Danio rerio: one gene and its partner. The protein of the gene in region 2 purifies or fractionates together with the protein of the main gene of each other region. This does not show direct contact. Links are inferred from orthologs where the notes say so. Each region holds a gene or a part of one and is shown on either strand. Other genes may lie near its edges.

Region 1 (3,833 bases), on a different chromosome or scaffold from region 2:
GTAGCTGAAGGCAGATTCACCCTGCTTTGACGGAAATGAGAGGTTGACTTTGACTAAGTGAGTGCATTGAAAGATTATGTAAAACAAGTTTTTGGCCTAATCTCGATAATAATGTAGGTTCTCATAGAATACATGCATAACCTTCCCTGGTCATTTCCAGGCTTAATATCTTAATGTTATTATATGGAGACAAAAAACATTGACATTTTGTTTGCATGTAATTTATGTAGGGGTGAGAAAGGAAATTAATTATGACCAAGACTCTAAGCTGAAATTTTGTCTGGTCAGCATATTGGTTTAGCGCACAATTATTGAGTTTTCTTTCTATGGGAAAATGTCAAGTATATAAAGCCATGTAATACACAAGGGGATCTGAAAGCTGGGCTAATGTTTACATGGGTGTTTCAGTTGATCAATCAAGCAAAACATGAATCTGCATTTTTTAAAATATCTATTTCTGAGCTGATTAGGTTTGATCACAGTTGTTTACTTGCATGGGTCAATGACAAGCTGTTTCATGTTGGTGTCTGCATCAAATTAAATTTACGAAGGTGACTTTATATACACAGAAAGCATAAAAAAATGGAAGTATGGAATAATTTCTAATAAATTTTATGAAAATATATAATACTGTTTCACATCAATCAGTGTAACAGATTTCATTAATTCATTCATTTTCTTTATGGCTTAGTCCCTTTATTAATCAAGGGTCGCCACAGTGGAATGAACCACCAACTTATCCAGCATATGTTTTACGCAGCGGATGCCCTTCCAACCACAACCCATTACTGGGAAACACCCATACACTCTTGCACACACATACACTACGGCCAATTTAGCTTATTCAATTGACCTATTGCGCATGTCTTTGGACTGTGGGGGAAACCGCAGCACCTGGAGGAAACCAACACAAACGTAGGGAGAACATGCAAACTCCATACAGAAATGCCAACCAACTCAGCCGAAGCTTGAACCAGCGACCCTCTTGCTATGAAGCGATCATGCTACCCACTACACCACAGTGATGCAGCCGTGTAACAGATACTATAATATAATTTAATATAATATAATATAATATAATAAATCTTAGAATATATCAAACAACAGGTGATCAAATATTATCTAAGTGAAACCAACTGGTTTGAAAGATAGGTGTAAAACTACATATACTGTATACATATGACCCACATGTTCCCGAAATAGAATCTTTTAATATGTTATGGAATAATTATATTTTTTAAATATGCCTGGTTCGATTATTGTGCTTTTTTGTGCAAATCTTAATTAATGTGCATTTTCAGTTCTATTGGCTATTATGTGATCTATATTTATACATCTTATATGACAGAATGTTAGAAATTGTGTGAAAAGCACATTTTAAGTCTACCAAGCTGTGCAAGCGCTCCAAATCATCTGGGGATTTCTCAGAGAATGTTGTCAAGGCAACTATCTGATACAAGTTTCAACTGAAGCACTAAACTGGCTAAAACTAAAAAAAAATAATAAAGCTAAATAACATTCAGAATAATATTTTCAAAAACAAATGAAAAAAATCTCAAAAATTAAAATGAGTATTTACAGTATTGAAATGAAAAAGAAAACAAAATAGTAACAAAAAATGATGCTAATAAATTAACATCTATCTATCCATCCATCTATAAGCACGCACACACACACACTAATGTAATATAAATTACGCTATAATGCAGTGAGATTTTGTTTATACTTTTCACATAATGGCAAATATTATGTAGGGATATATTTAGGGAAAATCTATTAAATGCATACAAAATCTAAAAGGTCTTTTATCATGTGAAATGAGGGCTCACAGATTTAATAGGACTGCCTTAAAATTACTAAAGATTTTAGGATAGAAAAGTATTTTACTGCATAACAACGTTCTCATATTCTATAATGCTAATAGATCAATATTATATTGCTATAATGCATCATTTACTATAGCTGAGCTCTGACAAAATGAAAGTGGCCTAAAGAGACACACTTAAATTTTCATATTTTAAGATTTAAATAAAATATCATGTATATAATGTAAGTGTATGGAAAAAAAGTTTCATAGACAAAACTTAAAGGTTAGACCTAAATTGTTTGTGTTGCGTTTTTAAAATACATCACTGAAATTGTTTTGTCTAAAGATGCACAACAGTATTTTTTTTTTATACAAATAAAAATAATGCATTTTTATAAAAGCTGCTTAAACACCCTAATTTAAAGGGATAGTTCACCCAAAAATTTTAATTCTGCCATGATTTACTCATCCTCCACTTGCTTCCAACCCGTTTCTTTCTTCAGTTGGAGACAAAGGAAGATATACTGAAGAATCTTCCATAGCACATTTTGTTCAAACTATAGATGTCAATGGCCTTTTTTCACTCCTGGACATTCTTCAGAATATCTCAATTTGTGTTCAACAGAGGAAAGAAATTCATAAAAGTATGAAGTGTGAGAAAGTAGTGAGGAACAGTCTTTTGACAAAGATCATGTCACTAAGATCATGTCGTGCCCATATAGAGGCTTAAACTGTGCACAAAATTCACAGTGAATTTGCCTCTTTCTAAAAAACATGACTGTTAACTGCAATCCATGCTATTCAGATGGTGAAACAGAGGAGCGTGGGTTTAATAAGCATGGACATCCGAATGCGGATACATACCAAACTTCCCCCAGCCCACTGTCCTACACTACCCTGCTATTACTTGTCCTCATTGTACCACCAAATGCAGCTCCACTGCCCCCATGTGCCCTCATGGCTCTTACTGTTCTGCTGTTGGTTCTAGAAGAGTGATTTATCATGTTGAATGTGAATGAGATAAGACTGAATCATACCCCATCAGGTAGAGCTCGCCAGCACACTGCACTGACAAACTCATTGGTGTCGTCCTCCTTCTTGTCCTTGTCCAGGACGCTCTTCACAGTGTCAAACTTGAATGTCAGCAGCGTCTTGGAAAGGCCTTTGTAGTACAAGTACAGCGAGTTGTTTTCACTACCTGCGGGGTTATAAAATGAGAGCATTTCTACTTGGCCATTGAATTATTCGAAAATAATGCACACCTGAAGTGATGATGCGGCCACAGTGTATAATTTCTGTAAAAAAACTACACATTTTTAACTGTTTACTGGCCAATCAGATTAAAGCACTAACTTACAGTAGTGAAAGTAAGAAAAAAATCTTTTCAGATGTTGAATAATTAAAAAAATACTGCACACCCAAGGTGGCAATGCCATTATCTTTGAATTTAACAAACCAGTGTCAATTATTGTATGTTACGATTATCAGAGCTGAAGACTGCATCATCACAGGTTTTTGACAGTTCTTAACTATGAAACAACTGAAATCATGTGGTTATGTGGAACTGTAATGTGTTTGAGACCTGCCTGGAACTACTTTAACTGTGAATTTATCAAACAATTATTTGCTTGTTACTTCAACACAGAAAACTTCAACAAATGCTAATAAAACTAAATGTCTGAGTCTAAATGTCTATTAAATTTTTTTTATTCAACTTAAAATCAGACGGCCAGAGACTGAGATTAATTTTTTTATAATTCATTACAATATTGGTGGAATTTTTTAAAATAATAATAATAATAACAATATACAGTCAAATTATTCATACCCCTGGCAAATTCTGACTTAGGTACTTTTATTCAACCAGCAATTAAATTTTTTTGACCAGGAATAACACAAGCTTCTTCTAAAAGATAATAAGACTGTGTACAAGATGCATTATTGTGGCTTTTATAAACATTTGAACAAAAACTTTGTGAGAATTTGCCAGGGGTTTGAATAATTCCAGCCTTGACTTTATATATCG
Region 2 (4,329 bases):
CTTTAAATGTCACTTTAAGCTGTATAGAAGTGTCTTGAAAATATCTAGTCAAATATTATTTACTGCCAGTGTAGCAAAGATAAAATAAATCAGTTATAAAAACTATTATGTTTTGAAATGTGTTGAAAAAAATCTTTTCTCCGTTAAACAGAAATTGCGGAAGAAATAAACAGGTTATGATTTACGGGTTTAGTATAATTCTGACTTCAACTGTAACTTATGACTGGGACAGACAGGTGCAACTGCCCTGATATTTGTTGTTTTTGTATAGTTAACATTTGAAAGGGATCAAAAAAAAAAAAAGCAAAATAAGATTAATAGTAATAGCAGATGAGCATGACAGTTTATAGACAACTCTTATTCTGGTTGCACTTTAAAAAGCCCATAAAGAGCATTTATCTTATGACTGGGATCCCAGACAAGAGTAACTGCCCTAATATTTAAAGAAAAAATGGTGTAAAAAAAATGTTGTTTTTATATAGTCAATATTTAAAAGGGATCAAAAAAGTTGTCCTAAGACAAGAATGGGTGCTGTACAATAGTTTGAGGAAAACTTTAATTAAAGAGTCGATCTACTTGAAAGAAGGACAAATCAATCCAATTGATTTTCATGTATACATTAAGAAATTAAACATGCATAATGCAAATATTTTTACAGTTTTATTTAGGGATCCTCCAATCGAACGACCTGAGATTGGTATCAGCCGATAATCACATGTTATGACTCTATTGGTACTCTCATATCTGGCTGATCTCATAAACTGATCACAAGTGTTTGTTTATGGGTTAAGTCGAAGAAGATCATCAGAGCATCAGAATCTGTACTTGGTATCGGCCGATCACCATGACATAGTATCGGTACTCGATATCGGCTCAAATCCTGATGGGAGCATCCCTAGTATTATTGCATTATCTCTTTAATTAATTAATTCCTAAATGTAAGACTGTTAGCTATTTTTTTCAAGATTTTGCTTCTTTCATTTGCCATATGTCATATTCTGTGCATGCAATTACAGCAAGACGGTTTTAATTTATAATAAAGCATAAAATAAAATCATACAAGAGTTTCACTAATATAAACAAAAGTAATGTTGTATATTATTTGTACATGTTTTTTTTTTATAAAACTGCATTTATTTCACCTCGTAATTGTTATCGTAAAATCTGCATAGGGGTTTTGAATGGGACAGATGTATAATTCATTCAGAACAGCGGGGATCCAGCCACCCGGTCTCATTGAGAGCAGCCTTTGTGTTCTCCACACTCTGACATGTACACAGTAAATTGTTTCTGGCAGGGTTCATTTCAACTATTTGCCTCCTGTCTGTCCAGCTTTGATGCTGTTTGTTTGCTTTGCCTGGGTGTACTGGCTTTAAGAGCCATTGTCAGGACTTTCCGAATAAAACGTAACCAGCAACATTGTGCAATCAAGGCAATTTTTTTTTCTGTGCACTTTACAAAAGCAGCACATTTGCAACAATAAGTTTACATGACAATTGTGCTGATGCATGGCTAAATTAATCTTACTGTATGGACTATCACGGCTATTAAAAATATTTTTTTTATTCTCTCTAAACTGAAAACATGAATGATTTGTAACAGCTGTTTGACTTACTCTGCAAATAGGCCACCACAGTCTGAATGTCTTTCTGTTGTTTATGTTTTGTTTTGTAATTCTCACCAAGTATACGCACTTGCTATAGCATGTTTCATGTGATATTTCCTTTCCCACTGCCGCTAGAGGGACATATTTATTGCAATAAAGACACATAATACATGCTTAAAATAGAGGCATACCTTCGGTGAGCCAGGTCTCCTGAAGTTGGCTTAAATCCTGAAAGAGGTCTGAAAAGGAAAATAAATAATTAGTTTGATGACATATTCTTATATATATATATATATATATATATATATATATATATATATATATATATATATATATATATATATATATATATATATATAAAATAATTTTCTTGCTCATTTGTTTATTAAAAAAATAGGTCTTACATGTTGTTTGTTTTTGCTAAATCATGTTATTATAGCGGAACAGTCCACATAAAAAATTTACCTAAAACTGACAATATTAAGCTACTATTGAGCAAGTGTAAATGTAAAATAAAAATATACAATTTTCTAAACTTGCTTGTTATTTTACCTTCAGATTCCTGAGGGGGTAATTCTGCGTCCATGTATTTCCTTTTTGTCGCCATCAACAGTCTATTTAGGGGCCCATTTCCTTGCGACCTCTACAAAACAGAAACTACATTATGTAAGTGAAAATACATACTCATGAAGAAGACTTTAGAATCATGAAGATTGATTTTTATTTTAAAACTCACTCTAAATAACCCAACCATGTAAAATAAACATTAAAAATGTAACTGTTACAATCCACTATGACAAGGTACAAAAATGCAGTGCATTGCGAATTATTTTCACTAAAATATATTATAAGCTGATGCCCATTCACCATCAAAACTGGTTTCAGAGCATTGCCTTTTACATCAGCAAATACTGACAATCCAAGCATCCCGAAAAGGGAAGTTTTGATTTCCTTTCAAGCTCAATTTTCAGAACTGCGTTTAAAGAAAGGATTAAAGTTTACCTTGTAAGCACAGCGTACATCGTAAAGACAAACAGAGTATTTCCTAGGCAAGTTTAACTTTGTCTCAGACCCAAACTGAAAACAGTTTTGATCGCAACGGCGCTTTTGCTTAAAACGAATCACATGCAACGACGACAGAGAAACAGCACAACATCCCCGCGTGAAGCGCAACAAAGCTTTGAAGTGAATAAAGCCATACTCACATTAGCTAAAGTATAAGGCACTTGCTGGTCCAGATATCCATCCATCTTATAATCCATGCCTTAACCGTTTGTGGTCATTTAGGCTGTGTTTTAATGAGCTCCACGCAGACTGAGAGGGGAAGGAAGACGGACAGAGGCAGCAGCAGCAGCGGTAGTTTGTGAATGGAGCGCGAGAAGGCTGCATACGTAATGAGCTCCATTCACAAAAAAACCACCAGCGTGCGTATAAACACACACACTCTAGGCTCTGCTAAATCACTGTTTGGACAGCTCGAGACCTCTTCTTTGCTTCATTTGTGCCAAGAAGCTATTGTCCTGGGAGTTTACTCAGGATTTTGCGGAGAATGACAACTAGCTGATGTATATGCCACGTTCGCTATAAGATTATGGTGGTTTAGTGAAAGGGTCACTGTTCTTTTAGCCAATAAAACGCGATATTGTTGTTATGTATTATATTGAAGTTTTTTTTATAAATATTATACAAAGTATTATAACCTACATTTATTTTTGTATTAGTTTAGTCATGATAAATTTAAATATGTCTGCTTTAACACTTCAATTTTAGCTTAAGTTTAATACCATTTCAAGCATGTTGTTATTTTGGTTTGGATTGTTTGTGTGTAGGGCTATGCGTGGACAAGAGGTTGGTTAATGAAATAATAATAAGCACTTTTCTTAAACTATACTCCTGACTTTAGCTTGCTCTTATTGCTGTTGGATGTTCGCTTAGTTTGGAGGACTTTGATTGGTGGATTTTCTCTTTCAATAGCTCAAGTTTCTTCTCTTTGTCCTTCATTATGAATGAAACCTCTCTGCTCTTTGCAGCCAATCACAATCGAGGTTTAGCAACCGAGGGCGGAGCTGGCGTTCTTTTAGCCAATCGCCGCTTGAGAATCCCAAGGGTTTTCCCTAGTACGTTTCCAGTTGTTTTTCATTCACAAAAAGGGGGAAAGTCGAGGAAGGAAAAATGCCATTCATAAAAACTTGCCCCAGCAGGAATGTTTTATGGTTGTTTTGAGCGTTTGCTCTATTAACAACAGATACAGCTTGCGAAAACATCACGTGGTGGCTGCTGGGTTCTGAACGGGAGTGGATGGTTGCAATATCTGTATATACGTATATAAAGAGTGTACACTGCGCAAACAGCAACACATACTTTCCATTATGAATCGGAAGAACCTGTGCAAAACAATGACGTCCTGTAATACACAGTAAACTGCGTGTATAAACAGCGTAATGGAACTTGAGTTAGGCTACTTACAGTACAGTAGTCTATTAAATTTGGCCATTTCATGCGCTGTGTGCGGACATTTTGGAGCAGCTGCACGGTGAATGTGAACTATAATCACTGTTAGTGCTACTAAAATAACACGGTATTCGCCATCACTTTAATCAAACAGGAAATAAGCTAAGATTATAAGGGTGCCACAAAAAGGATTTAATTAAATTTTTTGCTCCTTGACTAAAAAGAATGGTTTTACTTGTAAAAATGGTTGTTGCTGTTAAAAAAACACACTA

The links.
Region 1: the proteins of etv4 (region 2) and cop1 purify together in Homo sapiens (affinity purification with mass spectrometry; 5 studies listed by BioGRID and IntAct, with this or other methods). This does not show direct contact. The link is inferred for Danio rerio from reciprocal best matches to the Homo sapiens genes ETV4 and COP1.

The regions. Positions count from the first base shown.
Region 1 is NC_133177.1:38,105,341-38,109,173, reverse strand, and holds part of cop1 (E3 ubiquitin-protein ligase COP1), read right to left. Parts: intron 3,006-3,833; coding exon 2,845-3,005; intron 1-2,844. UniProt on the Homo sapiens protein: E3 ubiquitin-protein ligase that mediates ubiquitination and subsequent proteasomal degradation of target proteins.
Region 2 is NC_133187.1:29,382,826-29,387,154, reverse strand, and holds the start of etv4 (ETS translocation variant 4), read right to left. Parts: upstream 2,976-4,329; 5' UTR 2,869-2,975; coding exon 2,812-2,868; intron 2,725-2,811; exon of another isoform or gene 2,609-2,724; intron 2,250-2,608; coding exon 2,159-2,249; intron 1,846-2,158; coding exon 1,798-1,845; intron 1-1,797.